Drosophila melanogaster: one gene and its partners. Changing the gene in region 1 together with any one later gene gives a genetic interaction. Each region holds a gene or a part of one and is shown in the gene's direction. Other genes may lie near its edges.

What was found.
Region 2: of Gprk2 (region 1) and smo, changing one enhances a phenotype caused by changing the other (phenotypic enhancement), as found in Drosophila melanogaster (3 studies listed by BioGRID).
Region 3: of Gprk2 (region 1) and fog, changing one suppresses a phenotype caused by changing the other (phenotypic suppression), as found in Drosophila melanogaster (2 studies listed by BioGRID).

Annotation. Positions count from the first base shown.
Region 1 is NT_033777.3:31,402,821-31,408,521, forward strand, and holds the start of Gprk2 (G protein-coupled receptor kinase 2), read left to right. Parts: upstream 1-2,424; 5' UTR 2,425-3,136; intron 3,137-5,701. Other genes in the region: PNPase (polynucleotide phosphorylase), read right to left, coding at 1-1,055, 1,116-1,535, 1,592-1,737. UniProt on the Drosophila melanogaster protein: Specifically phosphorylates the activated forms of G protein-coupled receptors. Required during oogenesis and embryogenesis; component of a signaling pathway that functions during egg chamber maturation.
Region 2 is NT_033779.5:275,338-282,916, forward strand, and holds smo (smoothened), read left to right. Parts: upstream 1-2,244; 5' UTR 2,245-2,488; coding exon 2,489-2,526; exon of another isoform or gene 2,527-2,592; coding exon 2,593-2,986; intron 2,987-3,305; coding exon 3,306-3,787; intron 3,788-3,847; coding exon 3,848-4,468; intron 4,469-4,532; coding exon 4,533-4,703; intron 4,704-4,772; coding exon 4,773-6,177; 3' UTR 6,178-6,830; downstream 6,831-7,579. Other genes in the region: CG17078 (uncharacterized protein), read right to left, coding at 1-1,160, 1,402-1,566, 1,622-1,805; CG11601 (uncharacterized protein), read right to left, coding at 6,835-7,168, 7,317-7,579. UniProt on the Drosophila melanogaster protein: Segment polarity protein required for correct patterning of every segment. G protein-coupled receptor which associates with the patched protein (ptc) to transduce the hedgehog (hh) signal through the activation of an inhibitory G-protein.
Region 3 is NC_004354.4:22,851,946-22,857,654, reverse strand, and holds the start of fog (folded gastrulation), read left to right. Parts: upstream 1-2,460; 5' UTR 2,461-2,612; exon of another isoform or gene 2,613-3,848; intron 3,849-5,709. UniProt on the Drosophila melanogaster protein: Coordinates cell shape changes during formation of the ventral furrow and invagination of the posterior midgut primordium, by inducing apical constriction of cells in spatially and temporally defined manners.

The DNA of each region.
Region 1 (5,701 bases):
CGCCCATGTAATCTTCGATGCCCAGGATGTCGGTGAGAATGCGGTAGTCCTGCAGGTGCTTAGTGTCGTCGTTCTCGAACTTTGTGACCAGGCCAATGGCCACACCTGCCGCAGGTGCGCTCACTGGAACGCCGGCGTCCATAAGGGCCAAGGAGCCACCGCAAACGCTGGCCATGCTACTGCTCCCATTGGATTCCAGGACTTCAGAGGTGAGTCTTACGGTAAAGGGATAATCATTCGGCAGGGTGGGAAGCAACGATCTCTCCGCCAAGGCTCCGTGGCCCATTTCCCGGCGACCCACTGGACCAATCCGACCCACTTCACCCGTGGCATAGGGCGGGAACTCATAGTGCAGCATAAAGTTCTTGGCCTTCAGGCCACCGCTATCTAAAGCAGCCAACGAGTCAAGTTTCATTGCGCTTTCCTGCGAGTCCAAGCTAACCGTGCAGAAGACCTGCGTCTGACCGCGCTGGAATAGGGCGGATCCGTGGAGAGGCTTGTACATGTCCACCTGGCAGGAGATGTTCCTCAGCTGGTCGTAATCTCGTCCATCGCAACGCAGACCCCGCTCAAAGATCAGTTCGCGAAAAATGGTTCTACTGGTCTGGTTGAACTGCTCGGTAATAAGCGACGGTTCGGTATCCGGAAACGAACTCCACACCTTGTCAATAACGTTGGAGCGCACCTCGTTAACCGCATTGTCACGAGACATCTTGTCGTGCGTCGAATCCTGGAAGATCTCTCTCAGCCGCATTTCGCACATGCTACGAACGGCTTTCCCCAGTTCGGGATCTACTTCGGCAGCCACTTCCACTTCGCGCTTCTGTCGACCATAGGCCTTCTGCAGTCGCTCGATCTCGTGGATAATGAATTGGGCCTCACGAGTCCCTTGTTTGATAGCCTTTAGAAGGTCCTGCTGAAGAACCACATTCCCCTTGCCCTCCAACATAACGACGAGGTTTTGTTTGGTGGCGGAGACTACCAAATCCAGTTGCGAAGTCTGCAGCTCCCGGCGCGTGGGGTTGATCAGCACCTCGCCGTCGCAGAGGCCAACGCTTTGTAGGATTAAAAGAGTTATAAGCGGTTACCAGTTAGATTCGTTCGTGAGTACTCACCGCACAGCTCCAATGGGTCCATTCCAGGGAATGTCACTTAGAGATAGCGCCATGGAAGCGGCATTGATTGCAAGCACATCCGGACTGTGCACCGCGTCCATAGCCAACATGTTGCACACCAGCTGTGTCTCCGTGCGATAATCTTTGTGGAAGAGCGGGCGTAGCGAACGGTCGATAAGGCGGGCGGACAGGATCTCTTTTTCCGAGGGGCCCAGTTCGCGGCGCATAAAGTTCATGGGTATTCTGCCAGAGGCGGCGTTTTTCAGTCGGTAGTCAACCACCAGAGGCATGAATCCCTGGCCGGGATTTGGCTTCGCCTTGGCCACCGCGGTGACCATGACGGCGGTATCGCCCATTTGGCACACAGCTGTTCCATTCGCAAATCTCGCCAGGCGGCCGGAACTGAAGGTCATGTTACGTCTGCGGAGGATTCAAGACTTTGCTATTGGAACTCGGAGTGGAGGCCACGAACTCACCCATTGCTGAAGTTGACTTCCACGGAGGGCGCTTCTCCGTTGGAACTGCTTTGGATTCCTCTCCTTCCTCCTGGGCAGGACAAACTTAGGCATTTGAGGCGATAGTTGAGCAGCTTCAGCGATTTCCGTGTGAAAATCATGGCCATTACCTAAAAGTGCCGGGTGATTCCGGCTGAGGCGACAGTTCTGTACGCTGTATTTTCATGGTTATTTAAGAAATAATTAGTGGTCAAAATCTTACAATAAAAGCCCTGTACGTTTCTTGAGACTTGGAAGTTAGACTTAGAGCGCCTCAACTATTTGTATTGTTTAATTCAGTTATCTCAAAACTAGAATGCCCATTTAAAACAAAGTAGAGTGTGCAACATGTGTGCGTTCGGCGTTGCCACCTGGCAAGGGTAACAACAAATGAATTATATAGACAAACTATTACACGGATTATGTCTTAGGAATAATGTAGTAAATATTAATACAGCGTATTTTAAAAAAATTAATTTCGTTTCCAATAAGATATTTAGAAGGGTTCCCAGAAAATGAACTATTAGCTTGTGTCCCCGATAATGTCAAATTTGCAGTGCTGCCAACTCTTAGCAATGTTAGTTACAGCATGCAAGAAACAGCATTTAAATTCCTTTTCAGAAACGAAGAATTAAGACGGTATGTTCTGAAAGGTCCTAAAACGACCAACAGAATGACGCGACGATGTCCAAATCGCCAGATCTAAGTAATTCAAGCTAGCTAGAAAATAGCTGAGGCATCAGCACTACACAGTCCGCCAAAATTAGTCCGTCTTTTTACGCGTTTAGAGTTTTTTACCGCGAGTCGAAGACGTCTTTCACTAACTCAACGACGGTCTTACAGAAGACTCCAATATTTTTCGAGCAGGCAATTCGCGGATCCATCGTTAATTTTGGGCACTTGCAGAAAGCCCAGTTGCGAACGTCGTCGTGTGTCGTCTTAGAAAAGCCACTCCTCCAACCGGAAAACCGCAAGAGCGTCGAGCCCTTGTTTTGCGAGCCTTTTCGAAAAAAGCTGGGAATTTCACGCCGTATTTTTCGTATCTTTTCCGTCAACGAAACGCCGCGTGTGTCGTAGTGTGCGTGTGTGTGTTCTGTGTGCCCGCCCATCTGTGCATGTGTGAGAGCGCGCCTGTGTGTGTGAATTTTGGTGAGAGCCGCAACAACAACCGAAAAGAAAACCAAAATCGACAAATGCGGTCAAATTGAAAAGAAAAACAAAAAATCAAAGAGTATTCTTGCGCAAAGCCAAAAGGCAAAGTCAAAAAAGAGCGCAAAGCCAAAAAAACGCAGATTTCCCAACGAAAAGGCCGGAAAATTGCCCACTAGGCGTGTCGCTGCTTCTTCTTGTTCTTTCAAATTGTTTATGCTGCAATTGCAGTGGTGTGCGAAAGGAGTGGTAGAGAGAGAGAGAAGGAAAAGCGTCTTATCAACGCCCGCTTTCTTATCAGAACCCACACATTTGTTGCGAAAATTCCAACCAGCCGAAACTCACAGTGAAGCTTTAAATAGCACATCAAACAAACAGGTAAGTCTCATTAATCAGCTTGAAATCACCTTATTTTCTACTGCTCCTCGGTGGTCACAACTCACTGGCTGTTCCCCTCCTTTGCACTTAAGCACTTAACGGTAACTGTAAATTACACACACGTTGGCCTTGTCTCTCCTGGCGATTAATTGCATTAATGCCGCAGGACTCGCGCCATCCCTGTCACCCCACGCCAATCGATTAAAAAGTGAAAGCAATCGGGAAATGCTTATCAGTAGGTCCTCCTTCTTTGCTTTTTAAATGCATAAATACCCATGCACAGATGCACACATGCAAGCAATCAGCCCAACAATGCACTATATGAATATTTATAGCTCATTATTTATTGTCTCGCTGTTCCCGTCCATCATTTGACCCGCTAAAGAGGGCAGGTTGGTAAATAAATGAAAAGTTATCGAGATAATCGGTGGAATTGTTGGATCATTAATAATTTGTTTATTTTTTAGTTAACCTCTGACAATTTATCAATGACTTAGTAGACATAAGTCAGCTTGTTATTTTTGCATTTACCAAGATATCCGGAAGTAACATCTATTGCTCACACAAAAATATATTGGGCATTCACAATAGTGATGACTCACTGCCATGCGTGTTCACTGATTATTTTGACTTCTAAAATCATACATTTTATATTTACGTAAAGTTTTCAGAGCTGATATAAACATTAATTCAAGATATTTATTTATTAATCACTTGCACACTACTTCCAAAATACTGTACGTTTTATGCAAAATGTCGGAATAACATCAGAGATGTGATGCACAGGAAAATTCCCCATAATTCATGAAACCTATTTCCAAAATTAACAGAAAACTATTTGCGGTACTCGAACTCAAAATCTGTATTTTTATAGCACGAACATTGGAAAAGAACGCAAACCAATTAGTGAAACCATTTTGAAATCACCATAAATCAGCGTGATTGCCTGGCAATAAATTCCCGTTTCCATTTGCAGCTGACAAATGCGAGTCGTTAAAAATAGTTTTTCCCCAAAAGCGTAACTTTCCCCCGCTTTTCAAGGGCGACCCTCGCAATGTCCCGATGTACTTTCCTTATCGCTTCTGCATTTCGAGTTCTTTTTTCTGTGGTACGTCATCGGCAGCCGGGTGTCTCTGATTGTTTGAGAATCGCCTCGCCGGCTGCATAATTAAGACGAGCTGGACGTTTAGCTGATAAACGTTTCCACTTTTCATCGGCGGATGGGAGTCAATGTGCCATTCACAGAAGACCTCTACTCTGGTACACAGATGGTGATTGTTAAAGTCCAAGATCTCTGATGTGTGACCCCATGGGGTGCCCTTTTCAACTGTCAGGTCGCAACTATTGTTTCCATGTTTCGAGGGCTTGCGTCACAGTTTATCGACTCGAGTTGCGAGCTGCGAGCTGTGAGTCCCGAGAACCCGCAACCCATTCCGACAGGATGACGTAGGCAATTGGCAGAAACATGTGTATCCTGGGTATCCTGGGCCCCGTGCAGACAACAATAAACCATCAGCGCCAACCCCATGGGCAAATAAAACCCAATCGAATATTATTATCAATGAGGGCAGGACCCAAACAACGAACGCCAGTTCGAGCGCGAAGGAGGGTTGGCCACATGCTGCTCTTCCCTTGGCAGGATATCATTGCCAGCACTTGGACCCAGCCCACTGAACTTCCCAATTCCAATTCCAATCCCGACCACGCCCACATGCCATCATCGTCGCCTTCTGCGCTAATTTGGCGCGACTTTGACACTTGTTAGCCAATATGTTTTTGGCTCGTGTTAATGGCCCAACGGGAATTGATATTAATTGCGCCGCACGCCCCTCACGCCGCCCGAACTGGGCGTGGTCGTCGGTCAATATTGTTGGTCTCTAGAAGAAAAAAAAAAACAACAGAAAACGAAAAACACAAATGGCCCGAAAATCAGCTTAAATCAATTTTTTGTGGTCGCCGCCTTTTGTTCACTTGCTGGTTTTTGGTCCAAAATCGGCTTACCAACTTCGGTGCCTGTTTTTCTTGTGACTTTGGGCTTTACAAAGAGGCTCTAAGGTTCCCTTCTCGTTCAATCTAATTAATCCTGCCTTCCTTGATTGAGAATATGGGATTTGCCTTGCCCTTAAGAAAACCAGATTTCCTCACCCTTTGGCAGCCAATGAAAACTGAAAGCGCTCCCAATGTTTCCATTTTTCCAGGCCCTGTGTTTTCCTTTCATGTGCCCTAATAAAACTAAATTCAATTAGAACTTGCAGTTCGAGTTCCTTGTGCGTGTGGGAAAAGTTGGAGTGAAATGTGAGAAAAGTTTTGCGGAATATGTCGGAAAAGTGAAAGAGGGATGGGTAGGATCAGTGGCAATGGGCGGATGGCACATGGAGGGCTCATTAGTTGCCAAACGAAATCTCCGGAGGGCATGCAAATTTAATCGAATCACTTCGAGTGAAAAGCCACTTAATGATGGTTCCTTTCCTTTTCATTTCTAATAGATGAAAAGGCATCTGCCTAATGGGTTTTGAAAACAAGCAGCGTGAAAGGTTCCTTCCTTTAGGTCCTACTAATATGAAC
Region 2 (7,579 bases), on another chromosome or scaffold:
GGCGTTTGTGGGATTCGTGCTTTGCAGTGATTCCTTGCTAAGGGAACTGTTCTCGAGGTGCTTGAAAATGTAGTCGGGATCCTCATTAAAATAGTACGCTATGCCACGCAGGAAATTAGCGTTGGTCTCGTCCAAAGAGCTGATCTTCTTGTTCTTTGAACTCTTAAAGAACCTGAAAAAGCGATCCTTTTCGGTAGCCAAGCGCTTCTCTAGAGCCCGGGGATCGATGGACATAAGCAGCTCAAAGTGCTGGTACAGCACAGCCTTGTCAAAAATATATGGCCAATTGTCCTTAATGGCCGTTATATCTGGGATCTTTTCGCTGTTATTAAAAAAGGAGCGCTGCAACGGAAAGCACTCTTTCATATATTCGATTATGACGGACTGTTCCAGTGGGGAACTGCCTCGGTAGCTGGAGATTAGTAACTCCTTTTTGTGCTCCAGATCCCTGTTAAGAGCCAGCGATTTTGCATCACCATTGGAAGCACCACCTCCGAATTTTCGTTTTTTATTAGGGATGTGGATCTCAAAGGTTCCCGAGCTGCCGCGTTTCTGGGGTTTGTTTAGGGCATTGTTACGGTTGATCATCTTGGATATGAGCGATTGCGGAGTGGTGGCTATAAACTGTCCCTCGCGGTCTTTTTCGAGTAAGGAGTCGGGGTACTTTTCAGCCGCCTGTTGGGCGACCTGCCGGAAAATCCGTATGGGAATGTGGGCGGATATTTCACGGAGAGCCTCCACCAAAACATTCGCAAGTGTATTCAACCGCTTGCCCAAACTCCCCTTTCCCTTTAGTAGTTTCATTATGTCCCCAGGCACCTTGCTCCAGGGTATCGAGAACTCCTTGAATAGAGCAGAACTCTTTGCACTTGATGGCGTTACGCTGGACAGTGACATGGTTTCGTCATTAGAGACCGTCGAATCGTTCGGGTTCGACACAATACTGTTGTTGGCATAGAAGCTGGGATCCACCGAGCTGCCGGCGCGTTCGGATCGGTTGAGGGGCGATGGCGGAGGAAGCACCACATACTCCTCCGACTCGGCGAGGAGCATCAACAGAATCTTCTCCTTGGCAGCGAACAAGAGCACGTCGTCCTCGCAGATCTCGCAGCCGTTGCTCTCCAGGACAATTGTGTTGCCGCACAGGCCGTATTTGTGAGCTACCGAATACAAATATATTATTGATATAAATTAAATAAAATATGTACAATTATTTAATTTCTATCCTAGATAAATATATCACCCATTGATCAAATTTATATTTTTAAATGCAGAAATGCTCTAAGCTTAAACCCAATAGATTCTTATTAAAGACTGTCTACTGGTTAATAACTTCCAACTGGGCAACGTTCATTCGGAATACTGGATGAATAGATACCCAATTCGTCGGACGTTCCTTACCTTTGTCGATTACATCCTTTCGAGTGGGCAACGACATGAAGGTCTTCTTGATCTTGCGATCGGCGCTGCATATGGTAATCAATACTTTGTCAGCCAGCTCGGTCTTCGGCTTGCCCTCGTCGTCGTCCTTCTGGCTAGCATCAGTGGAATGTGTCGGCTCTACGGCTAAAAGGTAAACGTTAACCAGGAAACTAGACTAGCTTCGAGCAAGTTTGCTAACCGGGGGCTTTCTCACCGCAGCTCTCTGGCTTTTTCGCTCCTCCTGTTTGTACACCATTTTCGATTGTTGTTGCCTTTGCGAGTGCGACCGGCGCTTGGTTTGCATTTTGATTCGGACTGATCGGCGCCTGCTGGGTGCTATGATCGCCGCCGGAACTGGCGGGCGGTGCGGGGGCAACGTCCATGGCTTCTATTTGCGTTTGCGCGACTCCAACCAAGCCCTGTTATCCGTGTTTTTGGACCGTGCCGTGAAATAATATTGCAGAATAGGGATGTAAAAACTACATCGATGCTTGGTGCGCTACTATCGCGGTGTTATCGATACTCCGCACCCAGTGTGACCGTCGAGCGCATGGCATAAATAAATAAGCCAGCGGCCAGCATTGCCATATAGTCAAAATGTTGCGGGGAACACCTTTTTCGTTTGCTGATGCATTTCTACATATGATCATATTTCTTATTTTATGTTGATGTTATCTTATGTTACGATCGAACAAAATAAATCCGATTTGTTTGCATATCATTCGACTTGTTGCAGCTATGACCGATAATAACCGATGCCGACCGATAACATGCAAATCTCGCTGACCGATAACATGGGTATATTTAAACTGGCCCTGAATGGTCGCACATTTGTTGCTTCAGCTTCACGTTGAGTCGCGTTTATTTTTGTTTTCCTCCTTGGTTCTTGTTTTTTTTTTCTCTTTTTTAAAAACACTGCAATCCTTCAAAGGGAACAATTAAACCAGGATATCCCGAGTCCAACGAAAGCGCCTTCACGATGCACTGACGAACCGCTGAGCAAGAAACGGGCATTCAGCCCATTAAAATTCACACAAGGCAGCTATTTAATGATTTTTATAAGCGGATGCAGTACTTAAACTTTCCGCGCATGCCAAACATTATGTGAGTGACTCGCCTCTGGCAAATGGTGTGGGCAATTAAAATAACTTGGTTATTTACAAACCGCAGGATGTTCCTGGAGGTTGCGATCTTATGCCTGTGGGTGGTCGCAGACGCATCGGCCAGTTCGGCCAAGTTCGGCAGCACAACGCCCGCAAGTGCGCAGCAGTCGGATGTGGAACTGGAGCCCATCAATGGGACTCTCAATTACCGACTGTACGCCAAGAAGGGCAGGGACGACAAACCCTGGTTTGATGGCCTAGACAGCAGGCACATCCAGTGTGTCCGACGTGCCCGTTGCTACCCCACCTCGAACGCAACCAACACCTGTTTCGGCTCAAAATTGCCCTATGAGCTGAGCAGCCTAGATCTCACCGACTTCCACACCGAAAAGGAGCTGAACGATAAGCTGAACGACTACTATGCCCTGAAGCACGTGCCCAAATGTTGGGCAGCTATACAGGTGAGGAATCTTAATAACATCTAATGTACCTAATGATTTCAAAAGGTGGGGCCGAGTCTGTATGAAAATACAGATTGTCGCATTATTTTCTGATAAGGAGGTGCATTAGAAACAAGTTAAGCGCACAACTGTGATTACTTAATTACGCTTTGTGTTCAAGCAGTGAAAGTAATATGTGAATTGCTTTATCTTGGGAAGATTCAGATATATATACATATTCAGTTGTGGCTCAAGGTTTTCTGTAGATATTATAGTATTTCAAATCCATTTCTTCAATATTCCGGATTAGCTCAACACACCCATTTTTACATGTTTATAGCCCTTTTTGTGCGCCGTCTTTAAGCCGAAGTGTGAAAAAATCAACGGCGAGGACATGGTCTACCTGCCATCTTACGAGATGTGCCGAATTACCATGGAACCCTGTCGCATTTTGTACAACACGACGTTTTTCCCAAAATTCCTTCGCTGCAACGAAACACTCTTTCCGACGAAATGCACAAACGGAGCACGAGGAATGAAATTCAACGGAACTGGCCAGTGTTTAAGTCCTTTGGTTCCGACAGATACGTCAGCCAGCTATTATCCTGGCATCGAGGGCTGCGGCGTGCGATGCAAGGATCCACTCTATACCGATGATGAGCATCGGCAGATCCACAAACTGATCGGATGGGCTGGCAGCATATGTCTTCTGTCTAACCTTTTCGTGGTGTCCACCTTCTTCATCGACTGGAAGAATGCCAACAAGTATCCGGCAGTAATTGTGTTCTACATAAATCTTTGCTTTCTAATTGCTTGCGTCGGGTAAGTTTTGAGCACTATTTTGCATTTGTATTCTTAATCAACCACGTATTTACTATGCAGCTGGTTGCTTCAGTTTACTTCTGGCTCGCGAGAGGACATAGTATGTCGTAAGGATGGAACACTTCGCCACTCAGAGCCTACAGCCGGTGAAAATCTTTCTTGCATAGTGATCTTTGTGCTGGTCTATTATTTTCTCACCGCTGGAATGGTTTGGTTTGTGTTCCTCACCTACGCCTGGCATTGGAGGGCCATGGGCCACGTCCAAGATCGGATAGATAAGAAAGGTTCCTACTTTCACCTCGTGGCGTGGTCACTACCCCTTGTGCTTACCATTACCACGATGGCTTTCAGTGAGGTGGATGGAAATAGTATTGTGGGCATCTGCTTCGTAGGCTATATCAATCATTCTATGAGGGCAGGACTACTTCTTGGTCCGCTCTGCGGGGTCATCCTCATTGGTGGATACTTCATCACCCGCGGCATGGTGATGCTTTTTGGACTGAAACACTTCGCTAATGACATTAAATCAACTTCGGCGAGCAACAAAATCCATTTGATCATCATGCGCATGGGAGTCTGTGCTCTGCTCACTTTAGTTTTCATACTAGTGGCCATTGCGTGCCACGTTACGGAGTTTAGGCATGCAGACGAATGGGCCCAGAGCTTCAGACAGTTTATAATGTAAGTGTAAATACTCGTTTATAACTTTTTCCATACGCCTCAACTAGATAATTCTTTTGTTTAGCTGCAAAATTTCTTCAGTTTTTGAAGAAAAGAGTTCCTGTCGAATTGAAAACCGACCTAGTGTTGGCGTTCTTCAATTGCATTTGCTGTGTCTATTTAGCTCTGGAATCGTAATGTCCACCTGGTGCTGGACACCTTCTTCAATTGAGACTTGGAAGCGTTATATAAGGAAGTATGTTTTACCATCCTACCAAAAGTTGCATTAAAGTTATCTGTACTATCGATTTTATAACCTTTGCAGAAAGTGTGGCAAAGAGGTGGTCGAAGAAGTGAAAATGCCGAAGCACAAGGTCATTGCCCAGACATGGGCCAAGCGCAAGGATTTCGAGGACAAGGGCAGGCTCTCCATAACGCTCTACAACACCCACACAGATCCCGTGGGGCTCAACTTCGATGTGAACGATCTGAACTCTTCTGAGACGAATGACATCTCATCAACTTGGGCTGCATACCTCCCGCAGTGCGTAAAACGTCGCATGGCTTTGACGGGAGCAGCGACAGGTAACTCGTCAAGCCATGGACCGCGAAAAAATTCATTGGATTCCGAGATAAGTGTGAGTGTTCGACATGTTTCCGTTGAATCCCGCAGAAATTCGGTGGACTCGCAGGTATCAGTGAAAATAGCTGAAATGAAGACCAAAGTGGCGTCCAGATCAAGGGGAAAACACGGAGGCTCTTCCAGCAACAGAAGAACCCAAAGGAGAAGGGATTATATAGCAGCTGCCACTGGAAAAAGCAGTAGGAGAAGGGAAAGCAGTACTTCAGTGGAGTCGCAGGTCATCGCGCTCAAGAAAACGACCTATCCCAATGCTAGTCACAAAGTGGGCGTGTTTGCTCATCACAGCTCCAAGAAACAACACAATTACACCAGCTCCATGAAGCGAAGGACTGCTAATGCCGGATTGGATCCCTCTATTCTTAATGAATTCCTGCAGAAAAATGGCGATTTTATATTCCCATTCCTCCAAAATCAAGATATGAGCTCTAGTTCGGAGGAGGATAATTCCAGAGCATCCCAAAAGATTCAGGATCTTAACGTGGTTGTAAAGCAGCAGGAAATAAGTGAGGATGATCACGACGGAATAAAGATTGAAGAACTGCCAAATAGCAAACAGGTGGCATTGGAGAACTTTCTTAAAAACATAAAAAAATCTAATGAATCCAATTCTAACCGACATTCCCGAAATTCCGCAAGAAGTCAGTCAAAAAAGTCCCAAAAGAGACATCTCAAGAACCCTGCTGCTGATCTAGATTTCAGGAAGGACTGTGTAAAGTATCGGTCTAATGACTCACTTAGCTGCTCCTCTGAAGAGCTGGATGTGGCTTTGGACGTAGGAAGCCTTCTTAACAGCTCTTTTTCTGGAATATCCATGGGCAAACCACATAGTAGAAACAGCAAAACCAGCTGCGATGTGGGCATACAGGCTAATCCTTTCGAGCTAGTTCCCAGTTACGGAGAAGACGAACTGCAGCAGGCCATGCGACTCCTAAACGCAGCCAGCAGACAAAGAACTGAAGCAGCCAATGAGGATTTCGGAGGAACGGAGCTGCAGGGCTTGTTGGGTCATTCCCATCGGCATCAAAGGGAGCCCACGTTTATGAGCGAGTCGGACAAACTCAAAATGTTATTGCTGCCTTCAAAATAGCAAGACTAAATAAGCAATTGATGCATTTACTTAAGGTTCAAAAACTCTTACAATATTGTAGTTTTTGTTCTAAGAAATCAAATTGTTAGCGCTGAAAATAATCGTACAATCTTATCTATTTTACGAAATCGTAATATTGTTATGTTCACTGTTCAACGATTTATAAGAATATATCGCTTCACTAGAATTGGAAACCCAAATGATATTTAAAACAAACAAATACGAAATTGTAGTACACAAGCCAGAGCAGTTTACATGCGATGAACATTTAGATTCTTCTTAATCGATTACTGGAACAGACTGAGCGAAACTAGAACTACGAATTACGAATACTCATAGTCATTAGGCTGCAACTTTATTTTACAGATTCATCACCCCATCTAGCTTGTAAGCATTCGAATCTCTGTGTACGTTTGTGAATGACTGTTTCCTTAATCCTGGTACTCACGCCAAAGTAAATGCCAAAGAGGATAATAATTTATTTTCATTATTTTTCTTTGCCGTGGGTACAGGACTTTAGATTGTAGATTATAGATTTAAGTACGATATAAATAAGCCTCTTGGGCACACAAATCGTACCTCAGAAAGTGCCTTCAAGTTTACAAAATTATACATAATAATTTGTGTAACTAATAAACGATTTTAAATCCTCGAGTCCTAGCCTTGCTTTAATTTCTGTTGATTTAGGAGCTTAAACTCCGGACCCCAAACGACGTTGTTGGCGAACTCCCCGAGCAGATAGCAAACCAGGTTGAACCCCACAAGTAGTGCCAAGAACACGTAGCGCAGGTATGCGGGCAGCACTTCCAGAATGGGATACACCCACTCGCCACTGAAGTAGCGAACAATGTGCAGCCAGATGATGTAAAGCAGGATGAAGGAGACGTTGCCCGTGATGCCTGCCAATCGACTCGGATAGCGGCGGAAGCAGGTAAACAGGTCCATAATGGCCAAAAGGGCCACATTCGTGTGTACCACGTGATTCAACCAGCTGCAAATATTGAGAAACACAGGTAAATCAAAACTCGCCTCGCCTGATGAACAGAAAGTTTAGACAGGCTCGAAACAAAAGAGACTCCAGCAGACTAACATTGTGCATTGTACGCAAGTTAAACCGGCGGAAAAACATAAACACTTGCCTGGGGAAAATCGCATCCAGCGCTGAGGGAAAGATGAGCTCACGGTCCCACACGTAGATGACCCAAAACGAGAGGCAGACATTGTGGGCGACAGGAAAGGCAAAGGCGGCGAACACATAGTCCCTCACCGATCGCAACATGGATTTTGAATCCCCGGAGACATTGTTATCGCCGAAGAGATCGTTCAGCAGAGCCAATGAGTGGTAGATGGCCTGTAGAATGACGTCCAAGAAGGTAAGGTACTTGAACTTGCCGCCCCACCG
Region 3 (5,709 bases), on another chromosome or scaffold:
CATCATGACTTTTTGGCGAGGAATACTGGTGGTAAGGTCTTACTGTGGTGACAAGGACATCCAATTGCGCGTTTTAAGCTTCAATTTACTTAGCGTCACTCTTTCCAATTCAGTTATAACTTTTTCGAATACCAAATCTGTTGCCCGTGCCAACGACTTCGTCTGTCCATGTTCTTGGCTCGTATGTACATACATACATTTTTTCGTATTTAGACTTCCACGCAAAACGTTTGACAACGTTTGTTTTAGTTTTCGCCTCTTAATTAATATTAGGGTTTTTTCCACAGAGACACAAATTTGTTCGAAAGTGAAAACTAGAACATTAAAAAAGTGAAAATAATTAGCATAGTGGGGAGGGGACATAATACGCTGGACGGGAAAAATGTAGAAAGAAATTAATTTTCATTGAAAATTCAAATGCCACTCGAAAAGGTCAGCGAAAGGGGGTGGGGTCTGAAAAAGGAAGGGAAGAAGCAGCAGCGAAGGCAAACAATCGAGAGAAAACGAAATTTTTTAATTGATTTCACTTAAATCACTTTTGCTTCACAACAACGCAGCATCTGCGCAAGAAGAAGGAAAAGTACGAAAACACATTTCGGTATTTTTTCTTATTTGTTTAACTTTTGTTTCTTCGATTTTTAGTTTTTGGGCGAATGACCGAAGACGAGCCCCGCACACTTGACCATCGCATCGATAAGTCCATACGAAGGGAAGACGGCGAAGAATGAGAGAATAGGGAAATGGGGATGATCCCAATTCGTACACTTGGCAAAATACCCTTAGTTTAGTTGTGGTCATTTTTAGTTCCCTAAGCTAACTCTGTAAATTTATTTTTTAAAGTAATGATCTATATCATCTACATAAAATTGCTTTTATTCATGAATTTTAGCCGGAATCACTGCATAAAAAATAAAGGGAATTCACCTTAATCAAATCGAAATTGAAACGCTGTAAACGACAAAGTGGCCTTAATTGGCCATTATGTTGGCCTAAACACCGGCACAGGCTCAAGTGGCGGCTAAAATTACCAAGAAGTGCGATTTGCGATTCAGTGCCCAATGATGATGACGGGGAACAAAACCATGACTGCTATCAACTTCAATTAGGTTTCGAGGAAATCCATCTCCGACTTTCCAGCTTTTCCGAGATATTTTTATTAAGCCGGCCACTCCAGTTAGCCTTACATATTTCCGAATGTTAGTAGTGTCTGTAGGGGTCTACCGAACTCGGACAAAATTGAAAATAAAAATTTTATTTAATAAGGTACATACATACATACATAGTACATATGTAAATAGAAACAAACAGCCAACGGAAAATTACCAGGAAGAGCCGTACTGCCTTTTTAAATTGAACAACTAGCAGCATTCAGAAAAAATTAAAAGCAGAGAACATCATTAATCATCCTTTGCAGGCGGCCAAAAGAGAGCATCTCCCTAATTGAGAACAAGAGAACATAACAGAAGAAAATGTTAATCATGTATGGGAAAAACAAAAAAGAAAAGAGAATTGTCGAGAAGAGTAAAAGGGTATACTAGATTCGTTAAAAAGAATGTAACAGGGAGAAGGAAGCGTTTTCAACCATATATGTATATGTATATGTACATGTACTTGTATATGTACATGTGTATATATGTATCGTGATCAGGATCAATCAGGACCAGTCGAACTGGTCATGTCCGTCTGTCTGTCCGTCCGTATGAACGTCGAGATATCAGAAAATATAAAAGCTAGATTCTAGAGACATTAGACGCAGCGAAAGTTTGTTCCCCATGATGCCACGCCCACAAACCTCCCAAAACTGCCACGCTCACACCTTTGCATAATGTTTTGATAGTTTTCCATATTTCTATGACTCTTGTTAATTTTTATCGATATGATAAAAATTCCCACTCTAATGCACCAAAACTGACACTCCCACACTTTTGAGAAATGATTTAATTTTTTTGTATTAAACCAGTTGTTTTTCCAATTTATAGATATGCCGAAGATATGCTATCTTAAACCGCCCAATATATCCTGCCCAGACCTTAGAGAATTAAAATTAATTTTTTCCCACCAATTTCTACTAATGTTCGTGAAAAATGTTGAAAAGTCTCGTCCCACTTGGACTTGCTGAATAACGGGTATCTGATAGTCGGGGAACTCGACTATAGCGTTCTCTCTTGTTTTAAATTAATGACATACATACTCAAAACAATGCACGATCAAAACAGCAAAATGATTTCTTTGTGCAGTTGCAACTTAAGAGCAATGAAAACTGAGCGCGGCTTCAGCGCGCTCTTTGAAAAGAGTTCCCTAATGCCGCGCATCGGCTCTTTTCTCTCGGCTAAGATCATTGTCGAACGCGCGTACATATACATATATACAGTACATGTATATTTATATCTGACCACTCTCTGTCTGTCGCAGCGACTGCGGCGCCGACGTCGACGCCTGCGACGACACGTTTCGAAGCCGCTTCTCATTCAAAAAACAACTGTGAACGTGATCGGTAACGGTGCGTGTTCTCTTGTCCGCCCGCTACAGTCTCTTCAAAAAAAAAAACTTAAAAGAAATGAGGGGGGAAGAAAGCGGATAAAAATCACCAACAATAGTAGCAAATGAAAAAAGTAAAGTAACACTATCATTTCGATTGAATTTGTAACATAAATTCGATATTTAAGAGACATGTGCAATCGGTCAAAACGTGGCGCATATAACTTAAAAGCAAATAGTAACATGGGAATATAAATTTGTAATATACATAAATATCTTCTGATTGTGTCCCTTAAAAACGTTTCTTCGTGTGCTTTTATTTTATCTAAATTTGACCCGATTTTAATTTGAATTTGAACAAGAACCTAAACTAAAACAAAACAAAAAAACATTCGAATGCTTATCTGTAAAAGGAAACAGGAAAGAGAGAACGAACGAAGTGAAAATAAAGTAGAATAAAATAAAATACATACTACGAGGCATGTATAAATATACTACGCTTTTGTGTTTATACTACATTGTGAAACAGTTGTCGTTGTACTTGTTGTTGTCTTTACAGCAACAGGCGTCCGATAATTTATAATCTTAAAAATATATGTGCGCCGTACATATAGATTCGCCTACTGAAAAACCCGAGATCAACTTTAAAATACTAGTACCAACCATAATTTGAAGCTTAGCTTTGAGTTATAAATATTTAGTTAACGTTATTTCACAATGATATATATTAAATATCTACAATATTTCACAATCTTAAGCTATTTTCGGTGCACATGTAGGCATTATTTTTGAATTGCACTCAATGTTGCATACAAAATAATTCTCTTTCGTTTTTCCCAAACAGGATGTTACCATTGATACCTTTTGAAGTCGATTTGTTGTAGTGTGTTTTTTTTTCGTGTGCGCAAAAGTCTTTGTGAATTATATGATAATACATGTGATACAGTTGGAGAAATAAAATAGATAAATCAACAAAATCGAATACAAAACCGTGTTGTCCTAATGAGCCTAACAACTGCAGCGAAAAATGAAAGGCAGCCAGCGACGGGAAAACTTTAAGCAACTGAAAAAAATTTAGTATCTTACAAGTTTGAACTGGCTCTTACCAGCAAGCCAATCAACACATACATATAAAATTCTTAATAAACCAAACAAAAAATTAAGCTCAACCGCCATCAAATCGAAATTCAAAACGAGCCAATTTGTGGTGTTTATTATTTATTTGTATGCTAATTTATTTTTACAACAACTTGATATTAACCCACAATCAAAGAAAAACAAAAGTGGGGAAAAGACAAAGAAGAAGCAACTAAAAGCAAAAGCAGCGCACCTTCTTCGGCATCTTTGTTTTGGGATATAAAACAGCAAAAGTAAGTGGATTGTATGTATTTTTATTTAACGTTTATGTGTGTTTTATAATGCCCATCGAATAACCCATTATTACTTTGCGCTGCGAAACTTGTTTCTTAATGCAAATTAAATTGAAAGGAAGCCAGCGAAATGTATACAGCCCAGAAAATTTGGATAACAGATTCGAAACCCACAGTATCTCGTTTCTGGTACTCCTTATTATCCTGCTTCATTATTTCCTGGGTATCAGGATGTCTCGTTTTCGTGGGCTTATCCTAGCGGTTTTTCCGGTCTCACGCCCGATGCTGACCTTCTGACTCTGCGGATGTGGGAAATCTAGCCATTCTGCAGATACAGAGCTGGCTCTTGAGATCTTAAATGACCAAATCGGGAGGTATTTAGTCTAATGCTTTTCGAAGTAGCTATTACGCGTCCAAATGGATTCAGCATGAATATGTTTGGGCTCATGCCATTGACTGACGAGTAGGTATAGTTTCCCTAAAAGCGAACTGATAAATATTAAAAGCATTTTTAATCACTTCTTGAACAACAATAGACACGTGCACATTTCTCAATCTGGTCAAGCGCCTTACTAGTTATTGCAAAAACCAATTTCACGACGTGACCACAATGGATGACAACTGACCTTAGTGTCATCATGCAACCAAAACAATCGAACTACACCAATTCGAGGCGCATTAGGTGTCTTATCGGGGTTCGCTCTCAAACATTTGCCAAACAAGTGAGTTCACGATTATGTTTACAGAGGTGAGTTCCATGAGTTCGCTGGTAATGGACATGATGATGATAATGCCGATGAAGTCACGCGGTGACTATCAGCGCCAATGTGGCAAAGTGATCACTTCCGCTGGACGCAAAATATATTGCGGCTTAAAATGGAAAACTAAAAGCAAACCATGAACGAATTTCGGTACCAAAATTTTATTCCCGCATGAAAGTGTAACCAAGTTAATTGCATTTAACCGACTGTCCAAAAAATAAAGAGCTGGAAGGGTGGCCAAGCACTCAAGTGACTGGGAAATTGTTGACATGCACACTGAGAAAAATGGCCATATTTATGTGTGTATTTAGTAAATTTTTCCGTGGACTCGTTCTTTTATTTGTTTTTGCGCAGACATGAATTACAAAATGTTTTTTGTGCAAGTTCCAAAACGCCCGCAAAATGCTCCAAAAGTCATTATCAGCAATAGAAAGTGTTACAGACGGCACGAAAATTAAATTACGGGTATTGTGATGGTACGTATACATACATATGTATGAATACTATATAGATAGAGTTCGCTTCGATTGCCTCGACTATCAGATAGCCGTCACTCAGCCATAACTCCTAAAATAATTATCCGATTCAAATTATCTATACAGCTATTGTCTTCCGGACATACATATATTTATGCCTATGTTGATACCCCCCCGGGAACGTGGAATGAAATCAGCAACCGAAAAAAAAAACGAATCTATCACGAAATTATTTTCGAGGCTCTTGAGTCCCTTGTGCCCATGGCTATGCAGCCGTGGTAAAATTGATTCAGCTGCATCGGGGCAAACAGCATTAAACGGTCGATCCATAGGGCAGTACGTGCCTGAGGGCCCAAAAGCCGAAAACCAAAAACCGATGGCAATATACGACCTCCACTTACACGAAAAACTTGGGGATTATTTGTTCTGGAATTTCTGGAATCTATCCTATTCCCATTCTGTACAATGCTTTCAAGGGGATTCCAAGAAATCGGCTAATGCTGATGTAAGAAGTTCCGAAAAAGTTCGTACCTGGAAGTACTAAATACAATACATATGTACATTTGGCGTAAAAGAGTGCTTGTAAAAAGTTGAGTCATACGGACTAGAAATGTATGGATGTAT